Linked DNA regions of Pelodiscus sinensis. The protein of the gene in region 2 binds, or shares a complex with, the protein of the main gene of each other region. Links are inferred from orthologs where the notes say so. Each region holds a gene or a part of one and is shown on either strand. Other genes may lie near its edges.

The links. The genes of interacting proteins can lie anywhere in the genome.
Region 1: GEMIN4 (region 2) and STRAP share a complex: the UniProt entries of both Homo sapiens proteins name them as parts of the SMN-Sm complex. The link is inferred for Pelodiscus sinensis from reciprocal best matches to the Homo sapiens genes GEMIN4 and STRAP.
Region 3: GEMIN4 (region 2) and GEMIN2 share a complex: the UniProt entries of both Homo sapiens proteins name them as parts of the SMN-Sm complex. The link is inferred for Pelodiscus sinensis from reciprocal best matches to the Homo sapiens genes GEMIN4 and GEMIN2.

The regions. Positions count from the first base shown.
Region 1 is NC_134711.1:112,442,394-112,450,243, forward strand, and holds the start of STRAP (serine-threonine kinase receptor-associated protein), read left to right. Parts: upstream 1-4,842; 5' UTR 4,843-5,111; coding exon 5,112-5,223; intron 5,224-7,342; coding exon 7,343-7,478; intron 7,479-7,850. UniProt on the Homo sapiens protein: The SMN complex catalyzes the assembly of small nuclear ribonucleoproteins (snRNPs), the building blocks of the spliceosome, and thereby plays an important role in the splicing of cellular pre-mRNAs.
Region 2 is NC_134731.1:4,455,249-4,462,850, reverse strand, and holds the start of GEMIN4 (gem-associated protein 4), read right to left. Parts: upstream 3,020-7,602; 5' UTR 2,836-3,019; coding exon 2,826-2,835; intron 190-2,825; coding exon 1-189. Other genes in the region: diazepam-binding inhibitor-like 5, read left to right, coding at 4,709-4,969; GLOD4 (glyoxalase domain-containing protein 4), read right to left, coding at 7,108-7,209. UniProt on the Homo sapiens protein: The SMN complex catalyzes the assembly of small nuclear ribonucleoproteins (snRNPs), the building blocks of the spliceosome, and thereby plays an important role in the splicing of cellular pre-mRNAs.
Region 3 is NC_134714.1:45,327,937-45,335,948, reverse strand, and holds the start of GEMIN2 (gem-associated protein 2), read left to right. Parts: upstream 1-5,004; 5' UTR 5,005-5,148; coding exon 5,149-5,378; intron 5,379-6,795; coding exon 6,796-6,880; intron 6,881-8,012. UniProt on the Homo sapiens protein: The SMN complex catalyzes the assembly of small nuclear ribonucleoproteins (snRNPs), the building blocks of the spliceosome, and thereby plays an important role in the splicing of cellular pre-mRNAs.

The DNA.
Region 1 (7,850 bases), on a different chromosome or scaffold from region 2:
GTCAAAGCAAAAAGAAACTGTTTCAATAATAACTGAAGAAAGAATAAAGTAACTGTGAGTTATAAGGCTATTCTACCAGTGAGTTTATTTGTCAGAGTTTGATACAACTCCTAATTTTTTTAATTACCCAGTTTTATTTTCTATGCTATGCTTAACAATTGTAACCTACATAAGTAATCCTACTCTGCTTTTCCTAACCTTCTCCTCTTCCATGCTTCCTCTATTTTTTAGGACTAGCATAAGTTAGGCCTGTTACTATTTAGATGGGAGTTCTCCAAGTGGCAGGCAAACACAGGATACAGTTTTTTATTATGATTTCATTTGTCTCTATAGTACTTAGGCATGTGTTTTATATCAGTAGTAAATAAATACTACATTAAGAGGCACTGTACTGCTGGTACTACAATAGCTCAGATGAGATACAAGGTCTGATCTACACTTAAATCTTAGGTTAACCTAGCTATGTTACCCAGGGGTGTGAAAAACTCACTGCTTCTTGGGATGTAGTTAACTCAAGCTAAGGCTCAGAGCAGACACTGCTAGGTTAAGTGTAAAATTCATCCATCAATGTCGCCTATTAAGAGGGTTGATTTACTCCAGCAATAGAAAAACATCTTTCATTGTTTTAGCATTTGTAGTATAGACATACTCTCAAACTGAGGACCTGGCTGGCTGCGTGGGCATTAAAGATTGTGTTGTGATTTCTATAAGAATTCTTTTGGTGTTAAATGTGGTGTCCCAAACTAGGATAATTTTATGCATGTCAAAAACCCACCTCTCTTTAAATACAATATTGCTCACTTGCAGTGAGCTACCATTAAAGTGCTGCTGCATTTCACAATGATGTAGCTTGTTTCAGAGGCATATAAAGTTATTCCTGTCTATGGTTTATACATTGCTATCTATTTCTCAATCACATGAAACAATACGAAATCTGCTTGGGAGAACAGTGCTATTTCAACATAAGCTGTCCTCCTGCTGTAAAAGTTTCAGTGGCCAGAAATGTAAATGGCTTCAGTGAGTAGACAAAAGTCAGACAGTTTTTGGAAGATAGTCTTCCATAGCCTATTTTATCAGGACCCACTAAAGTAATGCTGAACATAATTTAGGATCCATATAGCTTGAATCCTTTTTTCAGTTGTTCATATCTATTTGGTTTATCTGAAGTTATAAAGTCCAGTCCTAAAAATGCTTAGCACCAAGTGCAGCTACTGCAGAAAATAGGCTAACTCATGGCCTTTGATAGTAAGGTCTTGCAGATAAGGCTCTTAGCAACGACCGTCATGGTCTTTAATAACATGTTCAGGCTTCTGCAGCACATGGAAACCCCTGGTTTATAGAATTAATGGTAGGATCTATATAAAGCACCAACAGCTGAATTTTTATGGATATATTTTCTGGTTTTGAGACAAGCAGTTACAGGGTTATTTTTTCTGGCCGGGTGAGATTTTAATATAGTCTGAATGTAATAAACTTGACATCTCCACAGTTTTCATCTGCATTTCATCATGTTCCAGATATTTATGCCTTTCTCTATCATAACAGTTTTATATCTCCCCAATTAGAGATCATATTGTTGCTTTGTGCAGAGGGTTAACTGTAGTCCAAAATTAAAGAAAATTAATAAAACCTGTGGGACCATTGAAGCCATACATTTCTGTGCACAGCTTGTCTGTAATGTCATTGGTGCTTTAACTTCAAGTGTTCCAGTGTCTTTAGATTCAGCTTTGACCTTGGATTTTTTTTTTCAGTTTGTATCAGTCTTCCGTGACAATTACAAAAGGGCTTTTTAAATTAAAAAATAATTAATTAAAAATCTGGCTTTTAATTAAAATGCATTGTTCCCAGACCTAACAAAACAAGTTAAATTTACCAGGTAACAATTAAGCAGCTAAAGAAGCATGAGTAATGTATAAACTTTCTTCTACCTAAACGAAATAACTGAATACATTTAAATTAAATTGGGATATACCACTTATAGCTGAGAAACCACAGGCACTCTAAAATATAATCTAAAACAGGGCTACTCAACACACGGCCCTTTGTTTGCAGCCTGGGGTGCAGTTTGGGTTTACATGGAGCCAGGGGTGGTCCTAAACTAGCTGCCAGCAATTGGCGCCCTAGGTGAACCATGCAATCGGCGCCCCCACCTCCAAACCCAAACCCCTCAATGATATTGTGCCATCATTTGGAGACCCATTTAACTTGGTGCCCCAGGCAACTTCCTAGTTCACCTATATGGATAGGCCACCCCTTCACGGGGCTCAATATGCAACGCAACTCACAGGTGGGATCCCTTGAATATGGCCTCCACTAGGAACACGCTCCACAATGGCGAGGCAGCTCCCAGGCGGGGTGAGCATTGAAAGATGGCAGCAGACGGGCTGGCTGGAACAGAAGGATACAGGGTGTTGGCATTTCTAGCTCCCAGGGAGGAGGTTCCAGGAGTACTGGGGCATTGTGGGAAGGGCTTTGTATTCATGCCTATCAGTATGTAAGAAGCTCTTTGCATATACAGCTGGTCCCCGAGTTGCGAACATTCAAGTTACAACACAACCATTTGCATTTACAACCAAAGCTCCCATGGAGCAGTCGTAAAGGCAGTTCCTGAGTTATGAACGCAACCTGCGCTTACAAACAGCACAGTCACTATGTAACTCAATGGGGATCTGAGTTATGAACAGATCGAGTTACGGCCAAATGTTTGGTCTGTAACTCGTTCGTAACTCGGTGAGAGGCTGTATAATAATATCTGGAGATATACCTATCTCACAGAGCTGGAAGGGACCTTGAGAGGTCATCAAATCCAGTCCCCTGCTCTCATGACAGGACCAAGTACCATCCTTGACAGACTTGCTACAGATTCCTAAATGGCCCCTTCAAGGATTGACCTCACAACTATTGAGATAGTAGGCCTGTGCTCAAACCACTGAGCTATCCCTCCCCTATATGCACTAGCTTTATATGCAACCACACTTAAGCTGTGGCCCTCCGCATGCGCTGTGAGTATCATTGTAGTCCCCAGTGCTTCCAAAGTTGAATAGCCCTGATCTAGAAGATAGAACATGAATGTCTTAATTTTTAATACTGAAATTAAGCCCTCTGAACAGCACAGATTCCCACATAGTATGAAAGCAAAAGATGTTTTGTCCTGTTTTAAGTATAAACAGCTAGATATCTAGTCTCCTCTATCTAATTAGTTTCCATCCAAGTCCCTCTCACATTCCCATGAATCTACATGTCAGTGGGAAAGTGCTGTGCTGAGAGTCAACACAGTACATGGACCAAGCTAATTTTTTAAAGGCATGTGGTTATGGGAGAGAGAAAAGTAGAGGCAAAAGATAGTGCTGGATAGGAAAAGATTTAGAGTTCCAGTAAGACAGAAAGCCAGAGATAAATATTCTCCAATTCTAAAAGCTCTTCACAAGAAAAGCACCAAAGACAGCCCATATTCCCTGTGATGGGAATACACAGAAGTGTTTGAATGCTGGACTTTAAAAATCTTGTCTCCTTACTACAGAAATATATAAACTGAGAACAATGCAAACTAAATATGTCACTTTCATTCTCATTCACCATGTCTCTCTAGATAAGCGGGTCTCAACTGATTTAACACTGTGGGCTATGTATGTAGAGCTCTGTGACACCTAGGATGCATTCACATTATATATATATATATATATATAATTAATTACTTATATTTAGCCCTGAGCAAGTCACATGAGCTGCAGCTGTGTGCTGATCAGGCCGCACATGACATAAACCCTAACAATGGGATAGGAGGCCACTGTAATCTCCAGAGATAGTCACAGAATGAGTCTGATTCTAGAGCTACTGAACTTAGAAATTCACTTCAGTCCTGACTCCTCCCGCAGTGGGTTTGATGGAGACATCAGAAAACTCAGTCAAACCTGTCCAAGGGGATGAGATTTGCTACCTCACACTAGAGGCTTCTACTAAGAAGCAAGGAGACAATGGGGTGCGTCTGCTGGGCTCTGCAATTAGTAGGGATGTCAACGGTTAGAGGACTACGCAATTAACCAATAAGCCTAGACAGCAGCCCCGCCCATGGAGTTCCAAGCTCCCTGTGAACAGGGACTGCTCTTTGCGGAGAGATCACAACCCGCAGACAGGGGCTGCTACCATCTCACGCTGGTGCCCCTGTATCACGGGCAGTAGTGCGCGGTGGAAGGCAGCCACTCCACGAGAGGAGCTGGCTTTTAAACCTGCCTGTCACCATGCTGATAGAAAGGCAGCAGTGCAGGATGGCAGGGGGCTCCCCAGGAGTGGGGCCAGGAGTGCACTGGCTGTCGCTCCGCCACCATGGATCATAGAATAGTTTTGTAACGTCTAAGATGTGACGTGGTTACATGACGATTCAATTACACGCTATTTAACATCCCTAGCCATGGCTTGCCAGCTCCTGCCTCCTGCTCATGCCCCACCCACCTGTGCTAGATTTACACCCCCGGCCAGCACTCAGTGCCCGGGCAGTGATGACTGGTGTAACCCAGCACAGTCCCCAGCCCGGCTGCCTGCAGGGGCACAGCCACTGGCACTTGCTCCCCGGGCATCTGACCCCACATCCTGCTCCCCCCCCCCCCATCTGGCTTTGCCCCCTGGCTCGGGACAGGGGCGGAGGCAGCTGCTGGGTGGGAGTCGCAGCAGCCTGGCGCTGCCTTTACCCCGCCTGCCTTCAACCAGGAGCGGCCCCGCTCCATTCGCCTGCTAGTCGGTGCATTACGGTAACCCCGCAGCGCTCCCCCCGATGCCTAGGCTCGCCTCGGGGAGGGGCGGAAGGAGCGGCGACTGCTCCGACCCGCTAGGGGGCGCGCGGGGATAACACAGAGGCTCGTCACTTGCGGAAAGATCGGAGGGGCACAAACGGTGAGCGTTCGCCTCCCTTCCGCCCTTGGCACGCATCACTTCCGGCGACGGGCTCCCACTTCCGGCGTGTCGTCAGTTCCGCCGCCATTGGTTCCCATTCCTTCTGCCCGGCCTAGCTCGTGGGCCCGGCCTGTGCCTGTCGCGCGCCGCCCTCCTCCCGCCCGTCCCACGCGCGCCGCCCGCCCTCCCTCAACCTGCCCGGAGCCGCCGCCGCCGCCGCCGCCATGGCCATGAGGCAGACCCCGCTGACGTGCTCCGGGCACACGCGGCCCGTGGTGGACTTGGCCTTCAGCGACATCACCCCCTACGGCTTCTTCCTCATCAGCGCCTGCAAGGGTGAGCGCGGGGGCGGGTGCGTGGGGGGGGGGGGTGTGTGCTGGCGGCAGCGCGCTCCTGGCTTTAGTCAGCGCGGGGGGGGGGGGCAAATCCATCCTCTGGCCGGGAACCAACCGACGCTGCCCCGGGGCCGCTTGTCTCTGATCTGCTCCCAGGTCTGTGCGCGGCCTCCCTCGGGCTGCCTGAGCCCCGAAACTGGCGCAGGAGACGCTCCCCCCTTCCTTTGCTCTAGTTGGGTTGCCCTGCGCTGTGGGCACGGGCAGGCAGGTGACCTGGGGGACACCCCAACACCGTAAACCAGGGCGATGATTTTTGATGAGGGGGGCCACTCCAAAATTTTGGTAAGTGGTCAAGGGCCAAGCTCTTCTACAGAAGGGGTGGGGGTTTAGGATGGAGGTTGGGTGCAGAAGCACATTCCAGGGCAGGGGATTGAGGTGCAGGAGAGGGCGTGGGGTCTGAGAAGGAGTTTGGGTGAAGGAGGGGTGTTTGTAGTGGACAAAGTACCCACTCCTCCCACAACAGCACAGAAGGGTAGATGAAGCAGCCAGCTTGCTCTGAACCATGGGGCTGCTCCCTGCCTATGGGTCCAGTGGGATGGGCTGCAGCCCAGTTTGAAAGGCTTTGTTGGCTGGATTCATCCCCTAGAACATTTCTTGCCTGCCTGCCACTGCCTTAAATCCTAATCCTCGCATGCGAGTTAAAAACTTGACTGATGCCTTGTACTGTCCCTGGGATGGATGTTGGAGTAACCCATCTTGGATGGAGGCAGCCCCAGAATTCAGTCTGGGGGGGGGGGGGGAGAGAGATATGTGTTCATTTTTTTTAAATTGTATCCTTTAGTGTATATGGTTGTGACAGTTTTCTTCCACTATTTGATCTGAGGAAGTGGATCTGGCCCATGAAAGCTCATCACCTAATAAACCACCTTGTTAGTCTTTAAAGTGCTACATAGTCCTGTTTTTTGATTATATTGTGTCACACTCCATTCCCAATAAGTGTGAGCTCAGGTTGCATAGCTGTTTGTTATGTAGTTGTAAACCTTATCCAGGTACGCTTAGGTCTGCAGTGAAATACCTGCCAGTTACTGATATTTTGGAACCACCTCAGGTTAAAGTGTTAGCAAGTTGGAAAGAATGCTGAAACTGCATAAATTGCCTTAGATTGTCTGCATACTCAGTGTGTCATTACTCCATTATCTGGCTGAGTTGTGTTCAGTTCACATCTTAACAGTTCTTATCATAATCTTAAGGGTTAGAGACTTAAACATTTGGCTAGTGAATTTTTTAAATTCTAAAATTAGGCATTGTCATCAGGTGAATATACAGTTCCCCAAGTTACTGTGAGCCTAGCCTCCTTCAACTCCTATGGTGGATGGATTATAAAGTGAGATATTTTTCAAATAAATTAACTGGCAATAAATTGGACATAGAGTGCTCATATAGCTGTACATTAGCAGCACCGAATTGTTTTTTCCTCATGCTCATATCCTGTTTCAGCAGGGCTCTCTTGCAAAAATAAAGATGCCAACCTCCCACCAAATACATGCACATTTTATTTATTTATACTCCTCTCTTCCCTCCTTTTTTGACAGTACTCCTGGATCTTTTATTTAGTCCGGGTTGTATTTTTTCTGCAATAATCTTTCTAGATCTTTAGTTTTAAACAACTGCCATATATATCTGAAAAGTAATCTATGTATAAGACAATTTTAAAGTGAAATGTTGTGCAACTAGTGTTGGCATCAAAAACAGGTTCTAATATAGTTAAACTAAAACAAATGTACTGTGAAAGAAAATGGCTGATTTTTGAAGGAACTGAAACACAGAAAAACTGTATTATTTGTATTGCAGTAGTGTCTAAAAGCCCCAGCCAAAATCATGGTACCACTTTGTTAGCTGTACATAGCAAGAAGTAGTCCTTATTTGTACAGATACAGAATTAAAGATCCATGTTTATTAAATTGGTAACAAAATATATTGCATTAAAAGTATGTCACATTTTTATTGTCAGAGTGCACTGGTATTTTCTTTTTTTTTTCTAGAATAGTGTACATGGACTATGCTTGCTGTTAAGTAAAATAAAACTGTTCTGTCTGAAAATTTATCTGTTTTTTGCCTAGATGGTAAACCTATGTTACGCCAGGGTGACACAGGAGACTGGATTGGAACATTTCTAGGTCATAAAGGTGCTGTCTGGGGTGCCACTCTGAATAAGGATGCCACTAAAGCAGCTACAGCAGCTGCAGATTTTACAGCGTAAGTAATGATTAACATTGAAATTTCAACTGTTGTGATTTCATCTTGTGGTGGTGGTTTTTCTGAATTGTGGTTTTAAAACAATTGCTGTTTTATGTGTTTACCCTTTAATAAACCATTAGTTACAGATGTGTACCTGGAAAATTTAGAAACTGAGGGTTTGGGTATTTTATTCAAGTACAGTAATAGTAGTTAATTGTCATTATCAGCTGTCCCTTGACTTGAGGATGATGTCTGCCAGGGGAAAAAAGTAATTGACTGGACTTAAAATGACTGCAGAGTCCAATCTATGGCTTATAGGTTTTTCCACATGTGTAACAGGTGGTTGCTTGGAGAGACAGGGCACAATTGCTGACTGGAATACTACACAGT
Region 2 (7,602 bases):
ACGCATTGGGTTGGGCTGGGGGAGAGGAACACCTGGTGCATATCTCCTTCAAGGCATCCGTTATGGGCGGCCCGACCAAGGACCAGTCAGATTTGGCCAACTCGGTCAACGCTTTAGGATGATACAACTTCGCAGCTAGCAGGAAACCGCCATGCAGAACGGCTGTTTCCTCACAGATGTTCAAGGGTCCTGTTGAAAGAGAAGGACACACACACAGAGTCATGAAGGCAATTAACCCTGAAAGGAAGGCTGTTCTTGTGATTAGACTGGCCTCAGAAGATCTGGATTCAGTGCTCTACTATATCCTCCTTGTTTGATCTTAAGCTAGTCAGTCTATAAAATGGGGCTAGCAATACATCCTGTTTCATCTCCTTAGACTGCAAGCTTTTTTCTTCATACCGCACACCGTCCATCTGTGGAACTCCTTGCTAGAGGATGTTGTGAAGACCAGGACTTTAAAAAGGTTTCAAAAAAGAACTAGATACATTCATGGAGGGTTAGGTCCATCAATACTTATCAGCCTGGATGGGTAAGGATGGTGTCCCTGGCCTCTGTGTGTCAGGGGCTGGAAATGGATGACAGGGGAGGGATCACTTGATGATTACTGTTCTGTTAATTCCCTCTGCACCTGGCATCGGCCACTGTCAGCAGACAGGACACTGGGCTAGATGGACCTTTGGCCGTTCTTATGCTCTTTGGAGCGGGCACCGTCTCTTATGCGTACACGCTGCGCCTAGCACAAGGTTCTGCTATAACCCAAATAGTTCACTTCAACTAATACTGAGGAACGTTAATGAATTGTTACAGCCCATGCTCCAAGGAACTAAAAGATTCAACCTTCCCTTTTACAGGGGAAAAACAACCCTTAATGCACCAAGTTCCCCGCTCTTGGGATGAGAGAGAGAGTGCAACTGCGCTGAACTCCAAAGAGAACAAGACACACCCACGACACAGAACAGTTAGCTCTCACGTCGCGGTAGCGCCTGGGCTAGCACAGGGCTTGAGCAGCGGGGAAGAGGGTTACACCCACACCCACAGGCAGATGCAGCAGTAGCTCGTAGGGAAGAGGATACTTCCTAGCCGAGGACTGTAATATCAGCCTGTTTGCGCATAGACCCTGGAATCCCAAAGCACTTCACAAATTATACAGCCCTGAAACGCAGGCAGGCCTGGGGCAATGGGTACCAACACCCACCCGCCAGCTGGGGGTGGGGACATCTCTTACAAAGCGTACCACGGGATTGGTGCAAACAGGGGGCTGGTTTCTAAGACCATCACATCCCTCTCTGCCATTTTTCTCTCTCACACGGAGAACCCAAGGTTTCTACTAGGGATGTAAAATCCCATTTAATTGGTTAACCGGTTAAATGTAGCGTTTAACTGGTTAACTGATTAAAGGAGGGGGCAGGAGGCCAAGCCGGAGTGCCCCTGATCACGGTGGGCCCTGTGGGATTGGAGCAGCTCCTTGCCCACAGTGGGTGGGGAGCTGCTCCAGTCCAACCAGTTAACTGGAACCAGTAAGCCTCACCCATTAAGGCTTGGCTGCATTAAGGCTTACCCGTTAACCTTTCACATCCCTAGTTTCTGTCCGCCCAGAAGAGGAAGGGCTGGTGTGAGCTGAGGTCTGAACCTGTGAAACTCCCTGCACGGCTACGGAGGGGAAAGGTGCAGGAGGGGATGGAGGAAGGACCAAGGGAGCCGTTTCCTAAAGCCGCTGTCTCCTTGGCTTGGGTGTTGTACCTCAGTGCAGAACGGGGAGACTTGGAGCCCACTCGGCACCTCTTCCGAGAGCGGCTCCCTCCGGGCCGGGGAGCAACCCTCATGGGCGAGGCGCACAGGCGGGATAAGCCGTGTCACAGACTCACCCGCACGGTGGGGTTTCACACAGCCTAAAAGGGGAGCTGCGCCCAGGACCCCCCGGCAGCCACCCTGCCCACCACAGAGGAAAAGCTCGGCCTGCGTCCAGGGAAGTCAAACCCAGGAGTCGGGGGGCTAACATGCTGAAAAGCCGAGCTGCACCAATCACCCTGGAAATGCTTCTGCCAATCCAGCGCCCAGCCCAAGGGGCCTGGCCCGGGTTTTCCCACGCACATGGGGTTTCCCTGCAGGGTGCGGGTGCCTGTTTGCGACTCTCTGGGTCTTTCCGTTGCCTGCTCCCAGAACATAAGAACGGCCGTCCTGGGTCAGACCAAAGGTCCATCTAGCCCAGTATCCTGTCTGCCGACAGTGGCCAGCACCAGGTGCCCCAGAAGGGGTGGACTGAAGACAACGATCAAGCGATTTGTCTCCTGCCATCCTTCTCCAGCCTCTGACAAACAGAAGCCAGGGGCACCATTCCTACCCCGGCGAAAAGCCTTTTATGGACCCAACCTCCACGAATGTATCTAGCTCCTTTTAAAACTGTTCCAGTCCTACCCTTCACAGCCTCCTCTGGCAAGGAGTTCCACAGGTTGACTGTTCACCCCAAAGGGCATCGCAGGCAGGCAGGCAGCTCCTGCAGGAGGGGGAGTGAAGCTGGGGGGGATTCTAGCGGGAGCCACGAGGGATCTGGCAGCGCCCCAAGTGGAAACAGCTGCCGGCCGAGCTCAGCCCAGCGGTTGGGGGGGGGGGGCTGGGATTAGCCGCCCTTAGAAGCGAGTTTTTTGGGGGGGGGGCGCACGCGGAGCAGGCTGCCTAGGCCCGAGCGGGGGGGGGGGTTCCTGGGCAGCGGCGCCGAGCAGGCGGCTAAGGCAGGTTGCAGGCGCCGCCCCGGCCGCTCGCTGCAGCCCCGGCTCCCGCCCCCAGCCCCGCGTGTGTCCCCCCCCCCGGGGCGGCCCCGCACCCACCTAGCTCCATGGCCCGGCCGGGCCGGCTGCGCGCTGGCGGTGCCCGTGAGCCCGGCACGCCCGGCTCTGTGACGCTCCCGACCTGCCGCCTGCGACCCACGTGGCCGCGCCCCCCGCAGGCACCAGCCCCCGCACGCAGCAGATCGCAGGGCGCTGCCCGGGCGGCAGCTCCCCCACCCCCGCTTCTGCCTGGCTCCCGGGCTGGGGTCCCGCTGGCTCCCCCTGCTGCCCGCACCGAGACACTGGCAGGCTCCCCCCGCCCCGCAGGGACCTGCCCCGCGTGGGCCCTGGGCAGGGAGATGCCTCGCTGCTCCCTTCTAGGGGGGATTTGCCCCTTTGTGGTCCACAAGGACCCTTCCGATTCCCTCACCCCGAGGGATAGGAGCACCCTGCTGCTGGGAGTCAGAGATCCCCTCCCACCATCTAAAAGAGCATCCTCATTTTTAACAAAGAGAAAAGGGAGGAGCCACCCCCCCTAACACCCGGTGGTTCAAACGTTTTGGGCTGAATTTGCGGCATCTGAGAGTAGAAACAGCTCGGTTTTAGGAGATACGGGGCCATGATCTTTTAGCTGCAGCGAGCCTGGGGACAGCCCAGCACCAGGCCTCTTAAGGAACTTAACTTCAACCTACTAGCTAACAAGCCGACTAGCAGGTAGCCCTTGGGACAGAGAAGTACTTCAACCAATAGAAAAGTTTGCATTGCTTAGCTGCATACAGCAGTGGCGGGGCACTTTGTAAATACCTATTTGAGTATAGCACAAAAGGGGTGGAGTAGCTCCCCAGCATAACTCACAACTGTTTACATGTAACTGACTCATTCCAAGCACAAAAATTCACGGTAGGGTTTTGTTTGTGGCTATTTTCCAAATTCTTGAGTCAGGCCCCATAAAAAATAACTTTTAATAAGAAATATTGGAGTTATTTTCCTGTAGCTTCCAGCTTTTTCATGAAGAGTCACATGCTCAGGTTCTTCTCTGCCATGACCAGGAATAGAAACGTAACATTTTTCTACCCCTCTTACTTGAAAACTGAGTATGTGAGATAATCAGGACTCTAGGAAGCAGTTCTTTAAGCAGTTCTTTTTGTAAAAGGGATGCAAATTAGACGTATCGCAATTGCTAATGAAGCAGGGATTTAAATCTCCCCCGCTTCATTAGCATAAAAATGGCTGCTGCTTTTTTTTGGCACAGAGCTTTGCCGGAAAAAAGCGCCAGTCTAGACGCGGATCTTTCGGAAAATAAAGCCTTTTCCGAAAGATCCCTTATCGCTTATTTTAAGAGGGATAAGAGATTTTTCGGAAAAGGCTTTATTTTCCAAAAGATCTGCGTCTAGACTGGCGCTTTTTTCCGGCAAAGCTCCGTGCCGAAAAAAGCGGCAGCCATTTTTATGCTAATGAAGCGGGGGAGATTTAAATCCCTGCTTCATTAGCAATTGCGATACGTCTAATTTGCATCTCTTTTACGAAAAAGGGATGCAATCTAGACGTAGCCCAAATGGCATAACAGGCAACAGTGCTTTATTTCCTAGGAAAATTGCCAATATAGACGCACAGGGTTACCTTCCTCCTAGCAGACAACAGCCATATAGAAAGACACCAAGAGCCTGTCTCCCAAGGGGAAAGTAATGATAGCCCCAAGAAGAACTGTCTGTAAAAAACCTGCTAACTCCTCTACACTTGGGATTTAATTTTAAGGCCTTTTGAAAATCGTATTGCTCCTGCTAAAGGCAGCTGAACTGTCTTTCAAGGGGGCACTTCAAAGCCTTCCTCCCCTGTTGCAACTCTCCTTCATTCCAATGGTCGTGGCCTGGGTCAGCCGTTGCGAGTCCTGGCAAGCCCTCCACAGGGGAAGGAAGGAGCAGGCCTGACTCCGAGCTCTCACCATGTCTCAGGTGGAATTTGAGAAAGCTGCTGCTCTGCTCAGGCAAATTAAGGACCCAATCTCAGACCAAGATAAACTGGAGATTTCCAGTCTCTGCAAACAAGCCACAATCAGGGACATCAACATCCCTTGCCCTTGTGCAACCGATTTAATAGGCAAAGCCAAATGGGAGGCCGGGAATGCACACAAGGGGATAAGCATGGCTGATGCCATGAATTATATTGCAAAAGCTGAAGAGCTGAAAAAAAAATACGGAGTGTAAAATTACACATTCATGCAGCCACGTGCCATTAGAAGGTCTTTTGACCCCACGTTGCTGCTAGGGAGTTTCCTCTCATCCTCAGAGCAATGTAGCTCATGTCGCTGCTAAGCCAATAAAACTCTAGTAAACAACAGAGTGGATATGACTGACAAATTGTGCGTAGCGTGCAGCCTTTGAGAGTCTCTACAAGGTGGAAGTTTAGTTCGGGCTAAGGCTAGTCCAGTCATTGTTTACGATTCCTGGTAACTCCTAGCAATATTTAAGAGGCTTATTTTAACAAGCCTGTGTATTTGCTTAAAGGCATACCCTCCCTTGGAAAAAATCACAGTACAGTCTGACAATGTTGCACTTACTGTAGTTACAAGTGCTGCTCAAGCGCATGGTACATAAAGTAACTTGGACTGGTTTGTGTGCAGTTTACAGCATACTGGACAGTTTCTCCATTACTAACACGGGCTTGGAGAAATCAGACCAACAAGAAATCACATTGCCAGAATCCCTCCAACAACATACGTAACCCTGGGATGTGGAGAAGACACGCTGCAGGCTTTGAGCTTAACTCTGACCCCTCCGTCAGCCTTTACAAGGTCAAATAGCGGGCAGCCGTTAATCCAGAATAGGCCAGGAGTGATCCGGACACAATCTCTCCCTCTCCACTTTAATTTTCTTTTAAACTTTCAGTGCTTCAGGTTCTGTGCTGATGCTCAGTTCCTAAGGAAGCACAGCCGTTGGGCAAGCTCACGCAAAGCCACTCCATGGCAAACCTTTGCTTTAGAAACTGTTCTGTTCCTCTCCCACGAGTGCCAGGGTCGGGGGAGGCAAGGGGGGGTTTGTTCCTACACACGTGCAAATAAAAATCGGATGTTTGGGGCTCACTGAGAGGTCAGCAGCTCCCACTCCTCATTTTGTGTTAATTGCTACGTCAAGATCACAATGTCATTAGAATGATGAGGTCCGGGAGCAAGACAGAGGAATTCTGCACTGCCCAAGCTGCCATTTGCTGGTACTTGCACTGCTAAATCCAACACAAGATCAGTTCCAAGTATGTAACACGGGAAACCTTCCATGCACCATTTGCACATGCAGCACATCTGCTGTAAGAGGGCAGAACCACAGTGTCAGTCACTTTACAGCAGCAGGGAATTTGGGTTGGGAGGAAGACAGCAGTTGGCTACTTCGCCTCTTCAGATATAAGGGGTCTCCTTCCCAGGAGCTGAAACTCATCTACTGCAGGAGACAGAGCTGTCTTGTGGGCCAGTCCTGGTTGTGGAATAAACCCACCTACTAAGGGCCATGCCAAGCCCCCCCATCTTCTGCCTCAAGTGCAAGCTGTATTTCTTTTGTAGCAGATACATAGCAAGTTGGCATCTCATACATCGTTTAAAAAAACCACACAAAACCCAAGTCACTGAATCCCCGACTGCCGCCGCTGAGATGAGGAAAGAATAGACACGGCAAACAGTCACTTTGGGCACGACTGGCACGCATTGAGGCCCAGATCCTCAAAAGGCACCTAATTCCCCTTGGTGTCAAGGGGAGTTGGGCACTTAAAAGGCCTTTGAGGATCGGACCACAGACAATATGAATGAGCAGGCTCTATAACAATATATAGAACAGTGAGCAGTTGCCGTTTGCATTGGATCACCACCCTGGGAGAGCTTTTCATGGGGGGGGGGGCGTTCATTTTATAATCTGTGTAACTGGAGAGAGCAGGAGCCACACTTCACTGTAGGCAAAGCCCAAGTTCATAAACAGCAGCCGTCTGTCTGAAATAGGGACTTGCTCGGGGCCATTGTTCATGGCTTGGGCATCTAGGCAGCAGACCACGGCTCTGTAATTTCCCCCAGGGCTGTGTGCATTGACTGGCTGACATCCAACCATGTGAGACCAAAAGTGAGTGAGATCACGTTAGAGTCAGATCATGTGCGTCTCTCAGAGCCTGTAGCTTTGTGCGTGGTCAATGCATCTTCCCAGCCCGTTCGCATGAGTGGGGTGGCGTTTGAAGCATTTCCATCCAGGCAGAGCTTTTCAAGCATCTGGCAGCACGTCCTGGCAGAGCTGGACAAGGGATTTACCCCCCCCACCCACACCCCTTCAGGGATGGACTGAGCCAGGCATTCCTCAGCATTATGAGGTCATCACATGCAGCACCCAGGCTGTAACTCACCTGAACAAAGGGGGCGGGTTGAATCTCTCCTGGCTTCACTTTGCAGGCGGGTACAGCAGGCGGCAATTAGAGACTGCAAGCAGCGTAGAGGCTCATTCAGTTTCAGAATAGGCCAGGCATTGGTTAGGGCATCTATTAAACCGTTACCAATAATTCAGACTTAACTGACAAACCATTAAAAGTGATTGGCTTCACTCCCGCCACATGAAAGTGATGCTGCAGCCTGGACACGGTGCACTGATCCTAGTGACAAGGGCGACATGAAGGGGCTTGAGGGGAACTATTGCGATTGTTTGATTGGGTGACAGCTTTCCACAGTTAGCTTCCTCCTAGCTCAAAAGGGTCCTGGACACTCTCCCTTGAGAAGGCAGATTAGGGCAATATCCAGCACATGTTCAAAACAAAACTCTGTCAAACTGGGCTTTGAGAACCTCTCAGCAAACAGCAACTGAGACTCAGCCCTCCA
Region 3 (8,012 bases), on a different chromosome or scaffold from region 2:
ACCAGGGCCTGATGAAATGCAGCCTAGAATATTCAAGGCACTGATTGATGAGATATCTGAGCCATTAGCCATTATCTTTGAAAAGTTATGGAATATGGGAAAGATTCTAGAAAACTGGAAAAGGGTAAATATAGTGCCCAACAATAAAAAGGGAAATAAATTGCAGCAAGAGAGATCTAGGTTAGAAATAAGGAAAAAGTCCTTTACAGCATGGTTAAGCACAGGAATAAATTGCCTAGGGAGACTGGGGAATCTCCATCATTGGAGATTTTTAAGAGCAGATTAGAGAGACATCTGTCAGGGATGGTTTAAATAATACTTAGTCCTTCTGCCATCAGTGCAGATGACTGTACTAGATGATTTTTCAAGGTTTCTTCAAGTTCTGTGATTCTATGATTATGTTCCTAAATGAATTCATTTAAATGTAGGCCTGCCCATTGGGAGAGGGGAGAGAAAAGGGGGCAACTGTCCTCTGGCCCTGAGATTCAAAAGGACCCGAAGCTCCCAGCTGCTGCCATTGATGCTGTGGCAGTGGCAATGCCCAAACCCCAGAGACATTTAAATCACTGCCAGAGTGACACGCAGCATGCTCTGGGTGGCATAGGGCTGCCTGAGGAAGAGGGAGCACTGCATAGCACACTCCAGACAGCATTGAGGGAGGGGACCATTGTCTGGGAGGCACTAAGGGCCTTGCCCACCCCTTTCTAGAAGCATGGAGCTGGTCCCTCCACAATTTGCTCAGGGACCCTGCGTGGCTATGGGCTGCCCTTTTCAAATGCAATTTTTCCAACATACTTTAGCAAGCAACAATAGCGTTTAGCCCTCAATGTATCAGAGTTTTTGTTTAGGCTACAAGCTACTGTATCCGTTTTTATTTTCTTCCAAGAACTGGTGATTAAATTTACAAAGCAATGTTACCACACCAGAATGGTTTTATCCAACAAGTCTGAGAGAAAGGATTTAAAAAGCTGTGGTCTTTTCTGAGTAATTTTATTCATTGTGGGGAGCAAAACACTATCATCTTGCTTGCATTTTTTCTCAGAGAATCTGAAAACGTGTCACATGATAATAACCGCCTAGAATCAGTGAAACAATATCAGTGACCATAACATCATTATATCTATTATTTGTATTTTAGCTGTGAAATCCTGTACAACTACTATTTTCAATACTATCCATCTTATGGTCTGAATGACTGGGCTGACTTCATATCTTAAAAGAGCTTGCAGACCAAAACAGGGTCCCATGTTTCCTAAATGGAGAAATTCTGAGTTCCTCCACACACTCTAATTCCACTATCAGTTGGAAGAAATATTGAGGTGTGAGTTGAGAGTATGCACTGTGTAGATACCCCATCATGCAAAAAAAAATGGTTGGAGCCCCAAATAGTTGGTTGTCAGATGCTGTTAAACCAGATGAAAAATTCCCTTAATATTATGGTTTCTGAGAGTACTCAGATGTTATAGTGATTGCCCAAAGAAACAGTGTAAAGAGAAAAGAAATGAGGGTCAAGGACAGAGCCCCGGCGTAGCCCTGTAAACCTCATCAGAGAGGAGCACTTGACAACAATCACTGAAAAATGGTCAGAGATGAAGGAGGAAAATCAGGAGGGTACAATATAGTGAAAACCCATTGAGGATAAGAAGTATGAAATATTTTTGTTACCAGTCACTGTAAAAAAATATTTTATAAGGCCTCAATCCCACATTTCTTGTACCCTGAATAGCACTTCAGGAAGATGCACAGATTTTGTAGTGATGGGGACCTTAGAGAGAAGCAAAAGTACTTGGATGAACACATAGATACATATTGGAATGATAAACGAGTCCAAAAACAACAGTCAGAAAATCTCTTATCTGTTATCCCCTGGTGTTACTATACATAGTAATTCCACTTTGCTTTTCTTACCTTATTGCAATATGTTACAGATTCACTTGTTAGTTTTTTGAATCATCAGTTCACATCCACGGGTGGCAACTCACCTCTTCTTCAAGAAATTACTCCTTTGTAACTCCAGGGCAATTGATAAAGAGAGAGAATATTCAGCTCTGGCTGTTTTCTTTTCTTCCTCCACTGAATCATATAGAGCTCTGTCAGATATTTCATGAATTCCATTATTAAATCTTGTTACTTGATACTCTTAATAGACCTTGGAAATCCACCAGTGTTTCCTGTAACAGTAAGTTTAAAAGTAAGTAGTTAATTCAAATAATATTATTCTGCTTCAAAAAGCAGTATTAGAAATGTTTAGGGAAAAAAAAATCTAGATCACTAAAAAGTTGCATACATTTACGCTTGCTGCATCAAAGTCCCTGGTTCTCTTTGTTTTTATAATTCTTGTCTTCACACCAAGTAAAGTCATAGATCTTAAAATATGAATATTTTCAAAAAATCCATTTACATTTTGACAAAGTTAAGGATTTATCTTTTCCACTGTGTCAAACTCTCCTGAAATCCAATGTAGTTTTGATTAAGCTGGTTTTATTTCAGACAATGTTCAAACTTGTCACGTGCACTAATAGGAAGTTACATCCTGGTTTTAGAGTAAAGCTGCCTGTTACACATAAATAATTATGAGAAACACCTTAAAAGCAAATAAAAATGAATGGAGAGGAAAGCTGAAAGTCATTGCTTGTTCAGAACTGCTAAAATATAGAAAAAACAACCAAAAGTGCCTTTCAGATAGGGCATTTATTGTAGCTAAGAAACAACCTAAGTGCTGTAAAATTTAAAAATCCTTGCACTGACTCTTCAGGAATAAGTACATAAGCTATTTGTATCATTGCCTAGAGTTATTAATTATTATTATTATTATTTTATTTATTTAAATAGTGCAGAGCTTTTTAGCCATAGATCTCAAGGACCCTTACAGAGAAGGGAAGTAGCATTATTCTCATTTGACACAGAGAACTGGGAAAGTTTTATGTAAGTTCTCTATAACGTATGTTGTTGTTTTCTAAATACCACTTAGTCTTCATTTAGGATATCCTGTGCGTGTGTCATCTTTTGTCTGAAATGTATTCTCACTTGATGGAGAAAATAAAACAGCTGCCTCAACTAAAACAACTGGTCTTAAGATGTAGTAAAGTTAGTTTATTTCTCTGAGACATGGCCCAAAACACTGGCAATGGATCCCTGTCTAAAAGAGTATGTCTAACACAGCAGCATTATTTCGGAATAACTGGTGTTATTCTGAAATAACATAGTGTGCATCTACACTACAAGCCTTTATTTTGAAATAATGTCAAGCTAGAGGACTTCTTACTCCGACTCATGGTAACCCTCATTTCACAAGAAATAAGGGAAGTTGAAGGAAGAGTGTTCTTCCTTTGACTTCCTGCTGTGTAGACAGTGCCAAAAGCCGAATTAAGCTATTTTGACTTAAGCTACGCAATTGACACAGTTGAAGTTGCGTAGCTTAATTCAACTTTAGCCCTGCTGTGTAGACATGCCCTAAGAGTCCAGTTCCTATCAGCCTCCTAATTACACTTATCTTTCCTTCTGCAGAAAGCAAAGGAGAACGGCTAGATGAGACAGGTTGGAAATAAAAAAAGAATTACTAACCTCTATTGACTTAAATGGAGAAAGATTGAATCTTAAGCACTGGTGTTGAAAAAAATACTTGCTAATGCTGATATTTAGGTTAGAGAACACTGCCTTGATCTTTTAAAATTATTATTAAAGAGCTATCTAGATTTAGTGGAGTTTTGATGATTTAATTGCTCTGCCATTTGTAGATTAACGTCACAGAACTATCTGGGCACAAGTGTGTTTGGTATATATAATATTGCTTGTTGTTTCTGTATGTTAAGCCAAAGGTTAGCCCTTCAAGAGGTTTTCTCATAGGGGCCAAGATGGTGTAGAAACTTCTTACTCTCTACTCCAATCCCAATCCATCATTCCACTTTGACACATCAGTCCCCCTAAAGGCAATGATGAGACATAAATCTGTTGGCCAACTGTTACATTTCATTTTGCCATTTATTGGCCATAGTGACAGCAAACTCAGGCTATGTCTAGACTACATTCCTTTTTCGAAAGAGGAATGTAAATGAAGCAAATTGAAAGTGCAAATGAAGCGTGGATTTAAATATCCTGCACTTCATTTGCATATTTGCATCCAAGCACTTTTTCAAGAAAGGGTTTTTCAAAAGTGAAAGCGCAGCCTAGACGGGATCCTTTGGGGGAAAAAAAACCCTTTTTCAAAATAACCCGTATTCCTGAAAAAATGAGGAATACGGATTCTTTTGAAAAAGGTTTTTTTCCAGAGACCTGATTGACTATGTGCAGCACATGATACGGAACCAGGACGAACTATAAGGCAATGGCCCGTGATGAGAAGAACTACTACCAGGACACACCCAAGCAGATCAAGAGCAAGATCAGTGCGTATAAGCGCTTCTACCCAGAGGAGTTCTAGGCTTTCACTGCATCCCTGCAGCCAGAGAAGATGGACCAACAGTGACTGCTCCCACCCTGCCCTGTTGGACCCACCCACAGCTGCCACCTCAGGGTACACAAGGGCAGACTGTCCCTGTTCTGCAGGGGCTGTTAAACCATCGGTGGGCAGAGGCTCTGGGGCCTGTGGCCAGAGCGCTGAATTAGATGTAGTTTATGGAAAGGATCCAGCCTCTGGGGAAAAGGGGGGGGGATGAGCATGCGCTAGAAGGGGCTCCTCGGGACGGTGCAGCTGGGCAGATGGCCACTGTCTCTGCACGCTGGGGGTGAAGGGATGAGACTTGTGTCCTGCAGCTGTGACTTGCAATAAATCACAATGCCCTCCGTTTGTCCCAAGAGCATATGGAAAATAAGGCACGATGCTGTTTAAAAGGGAATACGCCCTTTTACGCCATGCTTTGGTCATGATCCTAAATGATACACTTCCTGGCAGCAGATGACCCTGGGCACGATCATTGTTGCCACGGGAGTCAGCGGGCCTGCTACAGCCTGGGGCCAGGACCACATGATGCAACCGGATGGTCTCTGGAGGCTCCAAAGGGACGCTTCAGCTCAGGACCGTGGGGTGAAAGGGCCCAGACGCATACAGACAAGACTTCATGGAGCCCTAAGGAAGGCAGCGCGCTGCTCTACCCCGGCCGTCAGAATGGGCAGCCTGCCCAGCTGCCAGGGGGGAAACATGCAGTGCGCATGCGTTGTCTCCTACCGCTGCCGCGAACGGCGCTTGCAAGTCAGCGGCGTCCTTCCACGCGCCTGCGCTCTGCGAGGCCCCCGGGCAGCACGGGCCGTCGCGCGGAGATGGAGTCTGCGGCGGAGGAGCTGATGCCCCGGCTCCTGCCGGTGGGGGACTGTGACCTCACGGAGGATTTCGACCCCTCGCTGCCCCCGCGGACGCCCCAGGAGTATTTAAAGCGGGTCCAGTAAGTGGGGGAAGGGTCCGCTGGGGCTCCCCTCCAGGGCAGCGCGGCCTGTGAGCCCGCCGGGGCGCGGGGAGCTGAGCCGCGGCCGGGCAGCTCTCGGGCGCTGAGCGAGCTGCGGGGCTGACCCCAGACCCCGCTTGTGGGCCGCCCCGCCCCCTTCCTTGCTCTGTCAGCCTGGGTCTCCTCTGTTTCCAGATCCCGCCTGTGGGTCCGCCCTGGACCTGGGTACGGCCCCTGATCAGACCTTTGCAGACCTAGGCTTGAGCTGTAGCTCTTGTGCACAATCATAGGGGTTGGTCCTGAATGGCACTAGGGCTCCGGCTCAGACCTGCCGGTCCTAGCACCGGGGTCCTGTGAGTCCTAATTGAGCTCAGGTTTACAGTGCAGTGTGGCCTTGATATCCTTAAGAAATAAGTGCTGTTCAGGGAATTGAGAGAGCCAGGTTCTGCGTCTATGCCTAACCCATTTACCAAACCCTTTAGCTGCCTTGTCTCTAACGTCTAAGGATGTTAAACTGTGGTTATCTAACTAATCTTGTAGTCGATACAATTTGCCCTGCTGAACTCAGCATGAGCCGGGATGGTGCAGTTCTTGCTTGCGTTGGTCTGGGACGCTGCACCTCTAAATTTGAAATGTAGAAAGAGCCCAGCCCTGCATCTCTTACTATATTTAAAATGCAGAGCTGCAGCGTGGGTGGCTCCCAGAGATGGCAAGAGCCGGGACTGCTCACTCCTTGCTCGAACCATCTTCTGGAGCTACCCCTGCTGTGGTTCTGCATAGCGGTCCTCATCGACTAGTGGTGTAGTCGGTACAAATTGCTTTGCACAGAATGTTATTTTACCAACTACAACTGCAAATTATAGTGATCTTTACTTATGATTATGATGGAAAGTGGTCTTGTAACTAAAGCACAAAACTGGAAATCAGAAGCCCTGGATTTTTTTTATGGCTGTCTCACACATGGGCTCACTTTAAGCAGTTTTGTATCTGCAGGGGTGGCCCGTGACTATAGGCGGACTCAGCTATTGCCTAGGGCGCCGCCTTCAGTGGGGTGGCTGATGATGACGTCAGTCCATTGACAGCCCTGTAGGCAGGGGCGCCAATCACACATTCCGCCTGGGGCAACAGCTGCCGCAGCCTGCCTCAGGCCGCTCCTGTGTATCTGTAAAATGGGGGCACTTATCAACCATTCGTAGTCTACATTGTAAACTCATAAAACGTTTTAAAACCCTTCCAAATAAATATTTTTGCTTTTAACATTTCTTTCTTTGATAGATTCTCATTGATAACTTAAGAATTGTGCATGTGTTTTGAATTTGGTCAGTATCTCTTCATGAAAACTCAACCTGTGACTGTTTCTGGTTTTACAGGATACAGCTCAGGGATTTCAAATATAACCTTTTATTTCTGTTTGAAGGATTGAAGCAGCACAATGTCCAGATGTTGTTGTGGCACAGATAGACCCCAAAAAGTTGAGAAAGAAGCAGACAGTAAACATTGCAGTAAGTATCGTGTGTGTATATATTCTAAAGCTTTTTTTAGAAAAACAGATAGTTAAACGAAAAAAGCTTTTGATTTCATATTAAAATGTTTGTCTCTTAACATTTTTGGATACTTGGTGTATGCATTAGATATGTCCTAGAGCAGTGGTTCCCAAACTTTTTAGCATCATGCCCCCTTTTTGATTTTTGAGGAACCTTCACTCCCCCTCCAAAAATAGCAGCAAAACTTGTTGGGGGGGCGGGGGAAGGAACTGATAGGGGATGAGAAACAAAAATAGCAGCAAAACTTGAGGGGGCCCTCATGCCACCCCTTGAATTTCTTCACCCCCCCCTCCCAGGGGGAGACGCCCCCCCAGTTTGGGAACCATGTCATAGAGTAACTGAATTTAAGCAATCTGTAGAAGTAAATGGAATCTAGTCTTGCAGATCCAGATAAGTGGATCCCAGCCAGAGCCTGCCATTGTTCCCTGTAAGCTAAGTTCTCAGGTGTCCATCCAGGAGAGATTCACATGCCACCCAGCTGGTTAGCAGAGTCCTCACAGTTGGCAGCATGTTTTTCTACTAGTGGCACACATCTGGATGTGCCTTGGAGGTTGAGGAAAATCGTTGATACCCACAACCCAACATAATTTGACTAGAGTATGGGCTCCAGAGGGGCTGAGGATGAGAGCTTTAAAGTGTAGGAGGGGGCTCCAGCTTTGGGGGTGTCAGGACTGTGGCAGGAGGGGCTTAATTTGAGCAGTTTCCTATCAGTGGTGCAGTGGGGGTGCTCAGGCAGGCTTCCTGCCTTTCCTGCCACTTCAGACCATGCTGCAGCTCAGAAGCAGCCAGCAAAAGGTTCCCCACCAATGGGAGTGCAGAACTAGTGTGCGGAGCCCTATGTGCTCTCCCCTCCCCCAGAGCCAGGCCTGTTAGAACCATAGCATCATAGAACACTAGAACTGGAAGGGGCCTTGAGGTCATTGAGTCAAGACCTCTGCCCTTATGGCAGGACCAACCACCATCTAGACCATCCCTGATAGATGTTTATCTAACCTGATCTTAAATATCTCCAGAGATGGAGATTTTACAACTTCCCTAGGCAATTTATTCCACTGTTTAATCACCCTGATGGTTAGGAAGTGTTTCCTAA